Linked DNA regions of Tamandua tetradactyla. The protein of the gene in region 2 purifies or fractionates together with the protein of the main gene of each other region. This does not show direct contact. Links are inferred from orthologs where the notes say so. Each region holds a gene or a part of one and is shown on either strand. Other genes may lie near its edges. The genes, in order: NUP37 and NUP133.

The links.
Region 1: the proteins of NUP133 (region 2) and NUP37 purify together in Homo sapiens (affinity purification with mass spectrometry; 4 studies listed by BioGRID and IntAct, with this or other methods). This does not show direct contact. The link is inferred for Tamandua tetradactyla from reciprocal best matches to the Homo sapiens genes NUP133 and NUP37.

What each region holds. Positions count from the first base shown.
Region 1 is NC_135333.1:172,273,667-172,283,178, forward strand, and holds the start of NUP37 (nucleoporin Nup37), read right to left. Parts: upstream 4,418-9,512; 5' UTR 4,329-4,417; intron 4,323-4,328; exon of another isoform or gene 4,142-4,322; intron 3,087-4,141; 5' UTR 3,023-3,086; coding exon 2,864-3,022; intron 1-2,863. Other genes in the region: PARPBP (PCNA-interacting partner), read left to right, coding at 8,065-8,217. UniProt on the Homo sapiens protein: Component of the Nup107-160 subcomplex of the nuclear pore complex (NPC). The Nup107-160 subcomplex is required for the assembly of a functional NPC.
Region 2 is NC_135328.1:153,879,482-153,889,571, forward strand, and holds the start of NUP133 (nuclear pore complex protein Nup133), read right to left. Parts: upstream 4,377-10,090; 5' UTR 4,311-4,376; coding exon 4,129-4,310; intron 2,445-4,128; coding exon 2,326-2,444; intron 1-2,325. UniProt on the Homo sapiens protein: Involved in poly(A)+ RNA transport. Involved in nephrogenesis.

The DNA.
Region 1 (9,512 bases), on a different chromosome or scaffold from region 2:
AGGGATAAGGAAATCCCAGGGACTGTATAGCCTGAGTTTTACGTATTACCAGTGAAGTTTTTTTCCTGGCAGCATTATCTGCCGTTGAGCCAACTAAAAGGGCACAGTATGTGTGTGGTATAGGCAAGAGACAAATGCTATTGTGGGTTTAGTTTGGGTGTAGGCAATATTATATAGGCTGGAAATTAAGATACTTTGGAAAACTGCTATAATACAAATATAAGGATTCAGCATATTTGAGGTTGGGGCAAAGCTGGGTTGATGGAAGAGCAAAGGATTTAAAATTGGCAGGCTCTCCCACCACACCCACTTATGGCCAAAAACAGAATTTCAGAGTTAGACAAGTCTGTTAAGTCAATTTAGTTCAACTCTTTTCACCTAATGCTTGAGTCTCTGGTAGAAAATCTGAACAAAAGTTGAATAAACCCTCTCCAAACACCTAAAACGAGAAGGAAGCAGCTATTTCTTGGAGGTGCTTATTCAATTTGGAGACATTAGAAAATTACTCCTAACATTAAGCCAAAAATCTGTTTCCAAGTATATTCTACTCACTGGTCCTGGTGAATGACAACTACCTTTCTGATAGGAATGTGAAAATCTTTCCATTTGAGTTACCTTTACTTAGGTCTCCCAAGACAAGTGGCATGAATATGGGTGCTATGTAACTTGAAGGTTCAAAGATGAGAGACTAGGAAAAATGTGTAACGGTGTTTAGGCAAAAAAACAAAATAAAACATTAAAGGAAAGCAATACTTATTCCTAAATCTCCAAGGGAAAACTATTGGAACGAATTCTCTTTTAGAACAGTTTGAACGATGGCTTCTCTTAATATTAGCACAGAAGAAAAATGACAAATTTTTAAGGATGGATCTAGATCTTATATTTTCATTTACTAGTAATGCAAATCCCTGAACTTCCTTGAAGTAAGATGGAGGGAAACTCCATGAGAGCAGAGACAGTCTTGTTTAACCACGTTCATGAGTGCCTGACACAGAATATAATTTGTGCTCACTACTTGCCAAATTAATAAAATCCCAGTTTTCTTCCTTAGGGAATTTGGGGATAAGACCTTCCTTGCCAGTCTCACAGTCAGAGGATCAATACAATGTATATGACCATAAACCATAATGGATACATACAAACGTTAAGGTGTTTTATTTGTTTCTTCTGCCTCCCATTTTCTCTCTCATCTATCATCTCTGCTTTTCCTAAATTCTCTCTCCCTTTTTTGACTTTCTCCCCCAACATTTCTCAATTACTCATAAACTAGAGAAAAGCATACTTTTCAGTATTTCTAAATATAATTCTTTGTTCATAGCTGTTAACTTTAAAAGTGATGAAATAAAGTTTAACCTGTAGGTGGCTACTTTATTCTTTTGTAGGTTAGAGGCTTGCATTAGATAACTGGTTTCCCCTGGGCCTTTTTCTGGTTTTGGCATGGACAGGCTCTGGGAATTGAATCCGGGTCTCCAGCATGGCAGGCAAGAATTCTGCCAATGAGCCAACACTGCCTGCGGACCCTGGGCCTTTTTTAAGAGTACATTATAGCAATCACCTTACTCAACATTATATGATTCCTAATCTAGTATCCAGCTGAAGTCTGGCTGAGGATTGTATTCCATTTAAAATCTGGAAGTTCCTCTCCCAACCCCAAACAAATAATATGGGATAATGTAAGAGCTTTCATATTATACTCAGACACCAACAAACTGAAATCTTTAATTTATACTTTATATTTTCCCCTTAGGATAAATACGAATCCAGTCCAATTTTGTAGAGCTTTACACATTTACTGTATAATAGTGTAAAAAGATACACTGCATTTTTTATTTCACAACACTATACGATACTGAATTTGCTGCTGAGTAGAAGAGGAAATAATGTTTATAATGGCTTTAGTGATAAAGTTACTTTAAATCTTTGAAAATTGGTGCCTGTTAAATTAACGTCATTGATTAATCAGAATTTGAGAAATAATGGTTTTCTGAATAATATTTTTGCTAGCAAAGGATTAACCAGAAATTCTGAGTGTTGAACTCTCATTGATCAAAGTCTCTCTCACATGTAGCACATTTTTGTGAGAAAAATACAGGGCTGCACCTAAGTGTCATCACTGCCCCAAATCAATGACAATTAGACTCTGTGTGTTGCTTACAATTGGCCAGATGCCAATCTAGGAATGTCACATGTAGTGACTCATGAAATCCTCCCAAAACTCAATTAAGTATTATTTAACCCATTCTTAGAAATGAGAAGTTAAGTACCTTGTCAAGATCACACAGAGGTTAAGTGGGTAGGAGTGAAAAGTTAGGTATTCCAGCTCTAGGGAGCATGCTCTTAATGACTATACTGAATTGTATGCTCAAGTAACAAGATCTCATACTTTGTATACTCTAGATGCACGCTTTAAATGTATAAAAAGTAGGAGAGCATAGTAATAGAAAAGTTGAATCTCATGAAAGCCATAAAATCTCCCAGAGAATCAGTTTTTAGGCTTTTAATATTAGCCTAAAATGTTTCATGACAAAGTGGAAGGTAGTAAAAATTGTAATTAATTGTATCCCATTTAATTTTTTTTTAAACATACCAATGTTCAACTTCGCAAAACCTTCAATTATCATAATGTGCTATAACTAATAATGAGGCAAAAGAGGAGCCTCACCCTCTTCTTTTTCTATTTGGTCAATGTTGATACAACCTCAGACATATATTACTGGGAAAGTTTTTTTCTGTGGTTCTGCATATCTTTCTTTTTTTAAATGTTCAAATGCAATACTCAATATACTTTCAAAATTTACCTTTGGTTTTTTAAGTTTATAAGTGAAGTATCTTCACTGTCATTTATTGCAGCTTTGCAACTAACCTGAAATGTACACGTGCCAATTACCACGTAATTATTGCCACCATATGCAATTAGGTTTCCTGAATCTCCACTCTCAAAGGGATTAAATTCTACCACATGCACATAATCTTCACAATCCACAGTGTAGGCAGCATTTGTGGTGGCATCTTGCTTCATCATGTATGCCAAAACTCAAGCAGTTGTGAAAAAAAAAAACAGCCTTCTATGGGACAAGGTCACCAACCTGTGAATTACAGCAGAAATAGATTCAATTAGAAATAGTTAAATATGTCTTTCAGTAAATGAATCAGAATAAGGATGTAGTATTGCAAGGATGTGGTATTGCAATGCGGTACAAAGCTCAAAAGGAATGAAACATTTGAAGTACTTATCAAGGGACCAAAGCAGCAGAAAAAAATTAGATAAAATAGTTAATGGTAGAACACTTGCTCCGTAGCTTTTCTCCTTTCCATATTTGTGAATACTTGCAGAGGAAATCACCATAAAATTCTGTATGACTAAGCCGTATGTTGAGTACTTGCAAAAACAATCAGATTGATATTAAATAAATTTATAAAAAAAGAATAGCTGAGCACTATTTGTTGCCACCACGTTAAAGCACGTTACTGCCATTACCACTTTTAATATTTGCACAAACCGAAGAGGGAAATACTATGTGTGGTCTCCACGTCACAGATGAAGAAACTGAGGCTTTAGGAGGTTCAACAACTTTCCAAGCTTATAAGCAAGCAGAGCCAGAAAGACTTCACTATATTTTGGACACTAGGGCAAGTGAAGAAAAACAGCCTCAGCCTTGAAGGCGGTCACCATTCAGGGATAGTTATGATTCTGCATGAAAAGCGCTCTAACACAAGGAGATACAAAGCATCCTCGGATCCCGAAGGGTGCCAAAACTTGATACACTGGTATAAAGCCAAGTACAAAATCTCAACAAAGCTGTTCGGGCCTAACGTGTATTCTGGCCACAGAGTAGTATTCCCTAATGAGAACTACGGGTTTTAGGTTTTTTTGTTTGTTTTTAATTGGATATAAGAGTTTTATGCTCCTGAAAACAGCCGGACCCAGAAATGAACGCATCCAAGGCCTGATGAGTATTGACCGAGAAGCAGCTGGCAAACTCACGAGTGGACACCCGGGGCTGGCATGGTTAAGAGTGACCAGCAGGGGAGACGCCCACAGAAACAGCGGTGCAAAAGATTCGAGGTCAGGAAAGTCGTTCCGATCCCGGCCCCGTGGCCCTACAGCAGCGCCCGCGGGGCTGGGCCCTCCCCTCCACACCTGGAGCAGCCGGGAAGAAGGCCCTGCACAGAGCCTCGATGCCGCTCTCCCACCCAGGCCAGTCCCGCGGCACCCGATCCCGCCTTCCCTGCCCGCGGTCGCGGAGGACAGAGATGGGACGCCCAGGACAGAGGAGACACCTCCCGTCCCAAAGCCGGCTGCCTCGGCGCTGCCGCGTGATACCAACCCGACGGGCGAAGCGCGGCCGCAGCGAACAGGCCTCCGCGGGGGCGGGGCGGCCGCCGCGCGCCGGCTCTGCTTCCGGTTCGGAGGGCGAGCGCCGCGATTGGCTGCCGCGCCCTCCCGCGAGATTCGAAATGTAATCCCGGCGTGGCCGGGGGCCGGCGCGCAGGCGCGGCCTCGCCTCGGGAGCCCGCGCGGGTGAGTCTCCCCGCTTCCCTGCCAGCGTTGGTGGGCCGGGCCGGAACCTTGTGGGGTCTTTCGGTGACACCAGAGCACCGCCTCACCGTGTGCGGTGCTAAGTGCGGGCCTCGGCGCTGCCGCCTGGCTGGCTCTGAGGACTGCGGACGGACGTCGGGTGTCCCCGAGGGAACTGGAAGGGGCGGGATGGAGGCCCAGAAGGACCTGCTAGGCCCTAGTTAGAGGAAACGAGGCGTGCGGGCTCCCACTCCGGTTTTGCTACCCCATACACATCGCCCCAGACAGCATGGAACACCTGACTGCTGACAACGCTTCCCTGTATCTTATCGAGGACCTGTTTAGTGTAGCATTCATTGGGTCATGTACTTGTCTCATCAAAGTCTCACGACCTTACTACGACCCAGGAACTGTCTCCCCGATCACAGATTAAGACATTGAGGCTCATCAGAGGTCTTGCATAGTGTAGGACGTACAGCTAATAGATGGAGTTGCTGGGGTGGACCTGGTTATCCGACTCGAACGTGTACTTGTTTCAGACGTCGCGCACTACCGCCCAGTGACATTCACCTGCCCCACAGTTTTTCCTCCAGCGCAGCTTTAATCCAGTTTTTTAAAGCAAGTATTTATTATTGCCACCAATTTCTTCTACTGTTTTTGTGTAGGGCAGCCTGTCATTCAGAGTGTTTGCATATTCCGTGCCTCATTGACTCTTCTCAAGTGCGAGGAAGGTGAGTAAGTGAGGAGAGTATTGTGCCTCTTCTCTAGGTGATATCTCCGCTGTGCAGCCAGGTGTAAATCTGTCACCCAAGCTCACAAGAGATGGGCAGATGGGCTGAACTGCCTGTTTTTGTGCAGCTACCACTTGAGTAAACAATAGATTTTATGTATTTAAATGGCTGGGAAGAAACTAAAAGAATAATTTTTTTGACACATGAAAATGATATGAAATTCAAAGGACACTGTCTGTAAATCAGTATTGTTGGAGCACAGCCATGCTTATTCATTTATGAATTGTCCATGGCTCTTTTCACACTGCAAGGACAAGTTGAGTAGTTGTGACAAAGATCACATGACCTGCAAACCTCACATTTTTGCTCTTGGCCCTTTCCAAATAACTCCTGACTCCTGGACAATACTGTTTTTTTTTTTTTTTTTTTTGTCTCCAATAATAATGTCCATTCAATTTTAACTCAAAGCAACTTAGAAACTCATAATGTAATACTTCACTTTTAATGTGCTCTTATTTGTGCCAGGCACTGTTCTTTTAAAGCTTTACTTGTTTATATGTCATTTACTCTTTACAAAACTCTATGAGGTACGAACTATTATTTTCATTTTCAGTAGGAGGAAATTGAAGCAGGGAGAGGTGACCTAACTTGACCAAATTTCACAGCAAGTAAGTTCTGGAACCAGGTTCCAGAAGAGTCTGGTTCCACAAGAATCTTCATTCTTAGCAATTGGGACTCATAATATCTCTAAAGCCAGTAACTAATTTGCTGCTGAAGTTTTATTTTAGGCAAAATGATCATATCATTGAAGCTGAAGTTTTACATCACTCATTTTTTTAAATTTATTAATTAAAAACAAAACAACATACATAATCAGTAATTCACAATATCATCACTTAGTTGCATATTCATCATTTCTTAGAACATTTGCATCGATTTAGAAAAAGAAATAAAAAGATAACAGAAAAAGAAATAAAATGATAACAGAAAAAAAAGTTATACATACCATACCCCTTACCCCTTGCTGTCATTGATCACTAGCATTTAAACTAAATTTATTTTAGCATTTATTCCCCCTATTATTTATTTTTATTCCATATGTTCTCCTTTGTTGACAAGGTAGATAAAAGGAGCATCAGACACAATCGCACAGTCACATTGTGACAGCTGTATCATTATTTAATCATCCTCAAGAAACATGGCTACTGGAACACAGCTCTACATTTTCAGGCAGTTCCCTCCAGCCTCTCCATTACATCTTGAATAACAAGATGATATCTACTTGATGCATAAGAGTAACCCTCCAGGATAATCTCTCCACTCTGTTTGGAATCTCTTAGCCGTTGACACTTTGTCTCATTTCATTCTTCCCCCTTTTGGTCGAGAAGGTTTTCTCAATCGCTTGATGCTGTCTCAGCTCATTCTAGGGTTTTTCTCAATCCCTTGATGCTGAGTCTCCGTTCATTCCAAGATCTCTGCCCCACGTTGCCAGGAAGGTCCACACCCCTGGGAATCATGTCCCACTTAGAGAGTGGTAGGGTGGTGAGACTGCTCATTGGGTTGGCTGGAGAGAGGGGCCTACATCACTCATTTTTTTTAAGAGCTGAGAGTGATATTTTGAAGGGAAATATAACTCCTACCTATTTATGAGGGATTGTATTTATGTGGCTATTTTAACATAAAGTCTTTTACCTGTATTTTAAATTGTGTTACTGGTTATATCTATAATTTAAACTATCATTTTGTAAATGGTATATGCTCTTTTTCTTGATCATGCAAACCTAGGGTGCCTGGGATTTAGAAGTCAGTAAATTGATGAGAACAGTACCATACCCAAAAGAGATGATGGACATGTGAATATATTTTAAACTGGTAAAGAAAGAAGGAAAAACTCTGTTAGCACATGTCTGTTAATCAAAGAAAGGAATTAGCTGTTTCATAGGCTTGGGTATGAAAGAAATTAGCTGTCCAATAGGCTTGGGTATATAAAACATTAGAAATGCATCTAATTATTTTGAAAGGCTTTTGTCTGTATCAGAGGTTTTTATGCAATATAATGATTTAAGAACACAGTTTATGGGATTAGGCATCTTGGGTTTAGGTCTGGTTCAGTTATTTTCTAGCCAGGTGACATGAGGCATCAATTTTGTCAGATGTAATATGAAGATAATAGTACCTGCCTAATGTACTCACCTCTTGTGAGAATTGCATGAGGTAATATATTAAACTTTTGAAAAATTCCTGGCATCAAGTAACAGCTCCTAAATATTAGCCATTGTGTTGTGATCTGTTGCTGGTGTAAAAAGCTGCCCCAAAACTTAGCAGCTCGTGTGCTTGTGATTCTGTGGATCGGTACTTTAGATGGGGCTCAGCTAGGTCGTTCTTCTCCTGGTCCTGCCTGGAATTGCTCATGTGGCGAGTTCGTCTGGCAGGTTGACTGGAGCTGGATAATCACGTCACTGTGTGTTTGTGAGTTAATGTTGGTTGTCGGCTGGAGTTCCATGTTACTTCTCCATCAGGCTGTGTTTCACTTGCTTTATCATTATAAATTTGTGTACTTTTTTGGATGACTTTTCAGGCAGGATTGGATATTATTATTTCAGATGATTTGGCTTAAGAAAATTAAATGAGAGGAAAATGTGATTGGGCAGGAATTATATTACTCTGTTTTCTTAAATTTAAAAGCCATTTTGGTAGATATGAGATGATCTCTCATTCACTGCTTTTTTTACTCTGCTTGTTTGCACATGTTAGATATTAATTTCCAATTAAAATAAGACACTTCAACATTGTATTCTGTTCTACTTTAAGAGGATGGCTGTGCATTATCAGAAGTCTATCTTGAACATGATTAAAGCGTTTAGAAGGAACTGGCACACCCTTTGTACCTCTGAGAGAACTACTGTATGTGGTGCAGACTCCATGCTCCTGATATTGCAGCTTTCCATGGCAGAGAACAACAAACAGGTTAGTAAGTTGTGTGTAGGTTTCTTTGTTTCTTTATTTATTATTTGTATTTTTTGAGGGGCTGCATAGTCCGGGAATTGAACCCTGGTCTCCTGCATGAAAGATGAGCATTCTAGCGCTGAACCACTAGGTTCATTTATTTTTTTATTAAGTTTCGGCTACTGCATATTTTAATAATCTTAATTACATTAATTTCTTTGTTATATTATGATAATATTGATATACTATTTTCACAAATCCCTCTGCATATATATGTGTGCCACAAAATATTAAGATTTTATTTGAAATGATTTGTTTAAAAATTAAGGCTTTCATAAGTACAGTTTAACATGGAGCATGTACATTTGACATAATAAATGTCTTAAGATAGATGTGCAACTATTATGGTTAAAAATTATTACTTCCCTTCTCCTCTAAAAGCAATTCTAGAAAGCACACATTACAAATGTTTATTTAAATTAACCACAAAGTATCTTAGGACTTGTTTCACACTCTGTGGTATAGATTAGTTGTTCCCAAGCCAGGTTGTTAATAAGAATCACTTGAGGCACTTTAAAAAAATACTAGCTTCTGGGCTCCATTCTTTAGAATTCTCATTCTTCTGCTCTGCACTGAAGCTTTGGAAACTGTCTTTTTTTTTTTCTTGCATGGGCAGACTCTGGGAAACAAATAACTGTCTTTTTTTTTAGTCTCTCCAAAATGGTCCTTATGTAGCTCCAGAGGTAGAGGTGTTCAGAAGAGAGAAGAATGAATATAGGTTGGAGTGATAATGAAAGGCGTTTTTGCATTTATTCCTGGAGAAAGAAAAGTCAGTTCAGAAAACATTCCAGGGGGATCAAAATTATGATGATTTAAAGATGGTAAAGAGAACAGCTTGACTAAGGAAGAGAATTTATAAAGGGTTTCAATGATTTTGGGGGGCTAGATTTTAAAATGACATTTTGATGAGTTATTTTAATCCCGTATGTAAGTGGTTATTAAACTTTGAGATTTTGTAGACTAGTAAAATTTCCAAAAAACACTAGACATTGATGGTTGACTGTTTCTCATTTTGACAAATGAGGCTTGTTCTAGTTTGCTAGCTATTGGAATGTGATACACCAGAAATGGAATGGCTTTTAAAAGGTAGAGTTTATTTAAAGTGGCACATTTATAATTCTCTGGCCATGAAAATGTCCCAATTAAAGCAAGTCTATAAAAATGTCCAAATTAAGGTTACCTTCACTAAGAAAGACCAATGAAGTTCAGGGTTTCTCTCTCTCTAGTGGAAAGGCACACAGCGAACATGGCGACGA
Region 2 (10,090 bases):
TTCTTCTAGCCTCCACTGTTCTACAGTAGCTAGAAGGAAAAATGTGAGATGATGGTATGCTAGCCTATGACAAACTCTGGTATCTTTCCTGTAACTACTTGTTGAAGAGTGCTTTGAAAACATTGCTTTTTTTTCTTTGCTGTGTACACATTATATTACACAATTAATAAGTTAAAATAAAATATATTTTACATCATGATGCATTCAGACACAATTTAAATAAAACTAAAATAAAAGTTATTTAACCTTACTCAATAAGATACAATCTGATGTTTTCCATTCTATTCTATTTAATTTTTTTTTTTCTTAATGCTAGTCATGAACCACTAAAGTGATTTTGGTCAAAAGCTGCAATTTCATACAGTACTCCAGAAAATCTCAAAGATCTAGAATTGACTCCTTAATAAGAATGACTAAGGCAGATCACTGAGGATTCTCTGAACTTTGCACTTCCCCTGTCACCCAATCCCTCATTAATATTGCCTCTCTGAAATCTGCATTGACTGGATTTTCTAAACTTCCACTTTAATTCTGTTAGCAGAATCTTCTAAACATACACTACACAGGTATCATCATGAAACTGTGCATACAGTCTCTCAGGCCTATATATGATCCAGAAATGGAGGTAGAATTTAATTTTACTCTATTAATAAAACAAAAAACTTGAAGCATCAGTCTGTTTCTTTGTTTCTGACATGGGCAGGCTCTGCGAATCGAACCCAGGTCTTTGGCATGGCAGGCGAGAATTCTGCTACTGAGCCACCAGTGTCCACCCCCAGTTTGTTTTTAAATTTCATATACCCCACTGTCATGGTCAGGTTCATGTGTCAACTTGGCCAGGTGGTGGTGCCCAGTTGTCTTGTGGGGCAAGCACTGGCCTGTCTATTGCTATGAGGACATTTCATGGTCTTCAACTGTGATCACGTTGGCTGCATCCACAGCTGACTGCATTTGTAATCTGCTAAAGGGAGCGTCTTCGGCAATGAGTGATGCCTAATCTAATAACCAGAAGGCTTTTCAGGAGGATTCAGAAGAGACAGTCAATCTTCCTGCTTCAGCCAGCCAGCCTCTCCTGAGAGTTCGGTGAGGACCTTCACTGGAGTTGCCAGCTTGCTGCCTGCCCTACAGATGTCTGACCCTTTCATTCCCATAGTTGCCCAGTCAGCCTCTCCTGAGAGTTCACTGCGGACCTTCGTCAGAGTTGCCAGCTTGCGGCCAGCCCTACAGACCTTGGATTCTACATTCCCATGGTATGTGAGATGCTTTTACAAATTTTACATCTATGGATATCTCTTGCTGATTCTGTTTCTCTAGAGAACCCTAGCTAATACATCTACCAACTTTTAAAATTGGGCTAAATTTTGCTATATGCAGCACTTGAAACTAATAAAGACTTAATCTGATTGTGTTAGAATGAACTCATCCAGCTTCTCAAATTTATGATACTTCTCAATTATACTGAAAAGTCAAATAAGCTGACTATATCTCCCCATTTAGGTATATCTCTCAGGTATACTAGAGAAAGCAAAAATTTCAATCCACATGCCAACCCTAGGCATCATTTTTTAAAAAACCATCTTAAAAAATTAAAACAAAACAAAAAAAACTGTGGTAAGATATATACAATATAAAATTTGCCATTTTAACCACTTGCAAATCTAACAATTCAGTGGCTTAAATTACATTCACAATGTTGTGCTACCATTACCATTATCCACTACCAAAACTTTTCCATCACCCCAAACAGAAACTTTGCACCCAATAAGCAATAACTTGATTACATGCCCCCTACCTATACAGATGTTCTTTCTCTATGAATGGATTTGCATATTCTAGTTATTTCATTTAAATGAAATCATATATCTGTCCTTCATGTCTTTAACATTCACCCATGTTCATCTACATATCAAAACTTCACTTTTTACAGGAATGTATATAGCACATTTGTTTATCCAGTCATCTGTAGATGGGCACTTGGGTTCCTTATACCTTTTGTTATTGTGAATAATGCCACCATCTCCATTGGCGTACCAATATCTGAGGTGCTGCTTTCAGTTCTTTTGGGGCATATACCTAGAAGTGGATGTTTAACTTTTTGAGACACTGCCAAGCTGTTTACCACAGGCTGCTTGATTTTATATTCCCACCGACAATGTAGGAGAGTTTCTATTTCTCACAGTCCTCACATGCTACTTTCCATTTCTTAATAAATGCCTTTCTAGAGAGTATGAAGTGTTATTTTAGGATGGGTTTGATCTGCATTTTCCTAAAGGCTAAATTCCATTTTGAATTGCTAACTGAGGCAAATGGGAAGATGATACCAACCTTCAGCCAATGTTAGGGCTTCCATAACTTTCACAGGGAGAGAAGAGCCAAAAGTTTTCACATCATAGTTCATAGTCTCAGTTACAGAGTGGTGTAAGAACATTCGTGTAGGTGTTCCTCTAAAGAAAAGAGACATTGTAACAGCACTCATAATTTAAATTTTTCATTATCATACCTCGTATATATAATTTCATAATAAAAAGATCTTTATTACACAAGAAGAGAGGTGACAGTGGAAAGAACACTGACCTACGTATACTTGTGTGATTAAATATATCATTCATTGAAAATGGAGGGATTTGGGGAAAATTGGCTTTAGACTCATACTCTAGTAAATGCATGCCTCTTTTTATAACTGATTCCTTATCTAGAAAATAACAAGATTGGGCTAGATAAGTGTTTCTCAAACTGCAAGTCATTTTGAGGGTCTTAACATTTTTGAAAAACTAGCATATAAAATTTCAGAGTTTAATCACATGTTATGGTTGAAAACATTTACAAACATAGGGGTCGGTCATACTTAAGCTCTTGTTCAGCTCTTGAAATCTAAGAAATCTACCAGCTCTGTGCAACCAAACAAGAAAACAGAGTCATGACCATCTGCTCTAACCTAGCCTTTAATAATAGGTATAGAAGTAGACATTACATTCCTTTCTCATTTTCTTCTTCACATTCAGAATAATAATGTAAAGCCACCATATAAAAGTTACCCTCAAATTTATCAAGAGGACTTAACGAGGAGTTACACATATAGAGCTGTATTTCCTAACAGAAGTATTGTAACAAGGTTTTTCTTTGAATGGCCACCAGAAGGTAAGAAATTTTAAAACCATAGTAAGGAATTGAAAAAGAAAACTATGGCTTTTATTCTTTTACTTCTCTCAAAAGGAACATAAAACACTGACAAGAGCATCAGCACTTTTAAGAGCACTCTTCAAAATGCAAAAGCCAAGGATACAGTGCATTCTTTCAAATTCATTTCTCCTTTAAAATACTGCAAAACTGTATAAATACATTATAACTGTAAGTTTAAGGCACAGTAATACCGTTATTTCTCGCAAGGGAAAACTCATTTTTGATGGGTGGATCAGAGGAAACTACTCAGAAACAGATGTTACCTACCTTCTAAAGTTCTGAGTATTGTGAACATGGGTGGGTTGAGGCATACTTTTACCAGTGATATGGACTGCTGCTTCGCACTTCTTATTGGTTACAAAACTACCATTCTTATCCCACCGTAGAAGGTCTTTTCTCTGTTAATTTAACTACAAAGGGAACTTTTGTAGCTAAACGTCCTTTAATTACCAATCAGCAGATACTAATGCCTTAGTATGTTCGGCATTACATAATGACGTTCTAGGGTAGGAGGTCCTTACTACCACCATCACTTAACAACTGCATCCAGGCGTTTCTTATCGAGTCCTCTGGCCTTAGTGAGGGAGACTGACTGTAGGTCAGGTATTAGCGCCATTTCAGTTGAGGAGAATCACGAGTGACTTATTCTACATTACAGGGTTGGTAAGAAGAGGGGAAGTGGCACCGATTCAAATCCAGCTTGTTGATTCTTTCCGCACAAAGATAATCCCACGAAAAGCGCAAAGCGAGGATTCAAATGACGAGTCAATCGAGGTGAAGCTGGAATAACCCGCAAGGGTAGCGGATATTTATTTTCCCCAAAATTTGGCACCCCCGCCCCCACCTCCCTCCCAACGTTTCCAGAGGCTTCGGGAGACTCCCCCACTAGGCCTACCGAAGCCTCTGAGTCTGCCTCTCGTCGGACCCAACGAGGGAGGAATCACTTACCGTGAGCTCAGCGAGCTTCGCCGGCCGACCGGTGAGAAGAGCACAGGAGAGCTCATTCCAGACCCCAGGGTCAGGCCCTTCCTGCTGAGCACCCGGGGCGTGGAGGCCGGCCCGACTCCGCCGAGCGGGCCCCTTCGGGACCCTGGACCAGGGGTCCGCGGGGAGGGGACGCCCGGGAACATGATGCGAGGGAGTGACGGCGGAGCGCGCGGTTTCCCGGCCGAGGGGCAGACTCGCGGCGCAGGCTCGCGGCGCGCGCGCGGAGCTTGAAGGTCGAGAGCGCACGGTGATGACGTCAGGCCCAGCGCACAACCCGCGGGGCGTGGGCGGAGCTGCAGCCGCTGGAGGAGAATGGGCGGGGTTGGCGCCTCCGGAGCTTCTGGTCCAAGCAGTAGTCTTGACTTTCCAGGGAAATGAAGCTGGAAAACCAGGGGGCCTTCCCGACTCACATAGGCGGTGTTGACGCTCTAGCCGCTTGACGCGAAGCCACTTCTCCCTCTGATCTTTCCTGAGCCAGAGAAATGGAAAGGGGCGATGGTAAACCTAACGCAGGTTTCACACAATATTTTATTTGTTCTTTTCCCATTTTGTCATTTCTCTTTCTGTTTGGACTGTCTCATCCACACTATTCACGCCACGAATACATATTTCTAAGGCAGATCCTGATTTAAAAAAAAAAACAAAGACATCTGTCAACTTCATAGTGGACATTTTCACCTGGATATCCTGCAGACTCCTTACTATTCACTTGTTAAAACTGAATTCATGCTTTCTTTTAGGACTCTCATCCTCCTATCATGTATTTTCCAGCTTAGTAAACTGGTCAGTTGTCCAAGGTAAAAATAAGGGCTATATCCTAAAGTCATCCTCAAACTTATCTTCACGACAACATCCTGGTCCTTTGTAGCTCTGGAGTACATCTAGCACATCTCACACAGCTGCACTACCTCTGCCCTGTTCACGCACTCACCTTTTCCCTAGACCATAGCAATAATCTCTTTTTGAGTTTCTTTGCCTCTGCCTGCTCTTACTCCACTCCATCCTCCACATTGCTAAATTAGTGGACTAAGGTGTCTTCCTTTGCTAGCACTGCTATGACAAATACCACACAATGGGTTAACTTAAACAGAGTATTTATTGTCTCATGGTTTTTAATGCTAAAAATACAAAATCGAGATCTCCATAGGCCATGCTTCCTCCCAGATACTGTTTGTGGTATTCCGGTGCTGCTTGTGGCAATCCTTGGGGTTCCTTGAATTTCATATCTGCCTTTGTCAAATGGCAATCTCCTTCGTTTTCTATCTTCTGACTTCTGGATTCCTCTACCCACTGTATACAAGTTTCCTTTGCTTATATGGACTCATCAGGGTAAGTCTCACCCTGATTCAATTTTTCTTCATCTAAATAGGGATCTTCGAAGATCCTATTCACAAATGTGTACAGACTTTAATTAATAATATCTTCAAAAGTCCTATTTACAAATGAGTTCACACCCATGGGGGCACAGACTAAGACTTGAATATGCCTTTTATAGGGTATGTGATATAGGTCCCAACATAAGGTATATTGGATGTTGTTCTTGGGCATGAAACTGCTTCAGTAGCTGACCATTTGTTGCCCACAGGTAATTTGGCAAGCTCCTTTACAAGGTCCTTTGTGATTTAACTCTTGCTGGCTCGTACGTCTGACTCCACTTCATTCCCTTTCCACTTGCAGTGCATATTCCTTCCGGAAAAAAAAATACGTAAGAGTTTCCATCTCACCCCTCCAATGTATTTGCACATATTCCTTTCACTTGGCATGCCTTCCCTCTCTCCTTACCCCTGTTGGCTAGGTAAGCCTCTAACCACACATCAAGTCTTCATTCAGTGCTACTGCCGCCGGAAAGACTTCCACAGAGTTAGATATCCCTTTCTTCTTTGCCCCCTTGGTTTCTGTCTGTATATAGATTCATAATATTTTTATTTTATTTTTTTTTCATTAATTAAAAAAATTAACTAACACAACATTTAGAAATCATTCCATTCTACATATACAATCAGTAATTCTTAATATCATCACATAGATGTATGATCATCATTTCTTAGTACATTTGCATCGATTTAGAAAAAGAAATAGCAAGACAACAGAAAAAGAAATAAAATGATAATATAGAGAAAAAAATAAAAATAAAAATACAAAAAATATATATAAAAACAAAACAAAACAAAAAGAACAAAAAAAACTATAGCTCAGATGCAGCTTCATTCAGTGTTTTAACATAATTACATTACAATTAGGTAGTATTGTGCTGTCCATTTTTGAGTTTTTGTATCCAGTCCTGTTGCACAGTCTGTATCCCTTCAGCTCCAGTTACCCATTATCTTACCCTATTTCTAACTCCTGATGGTCTCTGTTACCAATGACATATTCCAAGTTTATTCTCTAATGTCGGTTCACATCAGTGGGACCATACAGTATTTGTCCTTTAGTTTTTGGCTAGTCTCATTCAGCATAATGTTCTCTAGGTCCATCCATGTTATTACATGCTTCATAAGTTTATTCTGTCTTCCAAGCTGCATAATATTCTATCGTATGTATATACCACAGTTTGTTTAGCCACTCGTCTGTTGATGGACATTTTGGCTGTTTCCATCCCTTTGCAATTGTAAATAATGCTGCTATAAACATTGGTGTGCAAATGTCCGTTTGTGTCTTTGCCCTTAAGTCCTCTGAGTAGATACCTAGCAATGGTATTGCTGGGTCGTATGGCAATTCTATATTCAGCTTTTTGAGGAACCGCCAAACTGCCTTCCACAGTGGTTGCACCATTTGACATTCCCACCAACAGTGGATAAGTGTGCCTCTTTCTCCGCATCCTCTCCAGCACTTGTCATTTTCTGTTTTGTTGATAATGGCCATTCTGGTGGGTGTGAGATGATATCTTATTGTGGTTTTGATTTGCATTTCTCTAATGGCCAGGGACATTGAGCATCTCTTCATGTGCCTTTTGGCCATTTGTATTTCCTCTTCTGAGAGCTGTCTGTTCAAGTCTTTTTCCCATTTTGTAATTGGATTGGCCGTCTTTTTGTTGTTGTGTTGAACAGTCTCTTTATAAATTCTGGATACTAGACCTTTATCTGATATGTCGTTTCCAAATATTGTCTCCCATTGTGTAGGCTGTTTTTCTACTTTCTTGATGAAGTTCTTTGATGCACAAAAGTGTTTAATTTTGAGGAGCTCCCATTTATTTATTTCTTTCTTCAGTGCTCTTGCTTTAGGTTTAAGGTCCATAAAACCGCCTCCAATTGTAAGATTCATAAGATATCTCCCTACATTTTCCTCTAACTGTTTTATGGTCTTAGACCTAATGTTTAGATCTTTGATCCATTTTGAGTTAACTTTTGTATAGGGTGTGAGATACGGGTCCTCTTTCATTCTTTTGCATATGGGTATCCAGTTCTCTAGGCACCATTTATTGAAGAGACTGTTCTGTCCCAGGTGAGTTGGCTTGACTGCCTTATCAAAGATCAAATGTCCATAGATGAGAGGGTCTATATCTGAGCACTCTATTCGATTCCATTGGTCGATATATCTATCTTTATGCCAGTACCATGCTGTTTTGATCACTGTGGCTTCATAATATGCCTTAAAGTCAGGCAGCGTGAGACCTCCAGCTTGGTTTTTTTCCTCAAGATACTTTTAGCAATTCGGGGCACCCTGCCCTTCCAGATAAATTTGCCTATTGGTTTTTCTATTTCTGAAAAATAAGTTGTTGGGATTTTGATTGGTATTGCATTGAATCTGTAAATCAATTTAGGTAGGATTGACATCTTAACTATATTTAGTCTTCCAATCCATGAACACGGTATGCCCTTCCATCTATTTAGGTCTTCTGTGATTTCTTTTAGCAGTTTTTTGTAGTTTTCTTTATATAGGTTTTTTGTCTCTTTAGTTAAATTTATTCCTAAGTATTTTATTCTTTTAGTTGCAATTATAAATGGAATTCGTTTCTTGATATCCCCCTCAGCTTGTTCATTGCTAGTGTATAGAAACACTACAGATTTTTGAATGTTAATCTTGTAACCTGCTACTTTGCTGTACTCATTTATTAGCTCTAGTAGTTTTGTTGTGGATTTTTCCGGGTTTTCGACGTATAGTATCATATCGTCTGCAAACAGTGATAGTTTTACTTCTTCCTTTCCAATTTTGATGCCTTGTATTTCTTTTTCTTGTCTAATTGCTCTGGCTAGAACCTCCAACACGATGTTGAATAATGGTGGTGATAGTGGACATCCTTGTCTTGTTCCTGATCTTAGGGGTAAAGTTTTCAATTTTTCCCCATTGAGGATGATATTAGCTGTGGGTTTTTCATATATTCCCTCTATCATATTAAGGAAGTTCCCTTGTATTCCTATCCTTTGAAGTGTTTTCAACACGAAAGGATGTTGAATCTTGTCAAATGCCTTCTCTGCATCAATTGAGATGATCATGTGATTTTTCTGCTTTGATTTGTTGATATGGTGTATTACATTAATTGATTTTCTTATGTTGAACCATCCTTGCATACCTGGGATGAATCCTACTTGGTCATGATGTATAATTCTTTTAATGTGTTGCTGGATTCGATTTGCTAGAATTTTGTTGAGGATTTTTGCATCTATATTCATTAGAGAGATCGGTCTGTAGTTTTCTTTTTTTGTAATATCTTTGCCTGGTTTTGGTATGAGGGTGATGTTGGCTTCATAGAATGAATTAGGTAGCTTTCCCTCCGCTTCGATTATTTTGAAGAGTTTGAGCAGAGTTGGTACTAATTCTTTCTGGAATGTTTGGTAGAATTCACATGTGAAGCCATCTGGTCCTGGACTTTTCTTTTTGGGAAGCTTTTGAATGACTGATTCAATTTCTTTACTTGTGATTGGTTTGTTGAGGTCATCTATTTCTTCTTGAGTCAAAATTGGTTGTTCATGCCTTTCTAGGAACTTGTCCATTTCATCTACATTGTTGTATTTATTAGCATAAAGTTGTTCATAGTATCCTGTTATTACCTCCTTTATTTCTGTGAGGTCAGTGGTTATGTCTCCTCTTCCATTTCTGATCTTATTTATTTGTGTCCTCTCTCTTCTTCTTTTTGTCAATCTTGCTAAGGGCCCGTCAATCTTATTGATTTTCTCATAGAACCAACTTCTGGTCTTATTGATTTTCTCTATTGTTTTCATGTTCTCAATTTCATTTATTTCTGCTCTAATCTTTGTTATTTCTTTCCTTTTGCTTGCTTTGGGGTTAGTTTGCTTTTCTTTCTCCAGTTCTTTCAAGTGGACACTTAATTCCCGAATTTTTGCCTTTTCTTCTTTTCTGATATAGGCATTTAGGGCAATAAATTTCCCTCTTAGCACTGCCTTTGCTGCGTCCCATAGGTTTTGAGATGTTGTGTTTTCATTTTCATTCGCCTCGAGATATTTACTAATTTCTCTTTTAATTTCTTCCTTGACCCACTGGTTGTTTAAGAGTGTGTTGTTGAGCCTCCACGTATTTGTGAATTTTCTGGCACTCTGCCTATTATTGATTTCCAACTTCATTCCTTTATGATCTGAGAAAGTGTTGTGTATGATTTCAATCTTTTTAAATTTGTTGAGACTTGCTTTGTGACCCAGCATATGGTCTATCTTTGAGAATGATCCATGAGCACTTGAGAAAAAGGTGTATCCTGCTGTTGTGGGGTGTAATGTCCTATAAATGTCTGTTAAGTCTAGCTCATTTATTGTAATATTCAAATTCTCTGTTTCTTTATTGATCCTCTGTCTAGATGTTCTGTCCATTGATGAGAGTGGGGAATTGAAGTCTCCAGCTATTATGGTAGATGTGTCTATTTCCCTTTTCAGTAATTGCAGTGTATTCCTCATGTATTTTGGGGCATTCTGATTCAGTGCATAAATATTTATGATTGTTATGTCTTGTTGTTTAATTGTTCCTTTTATTAGTA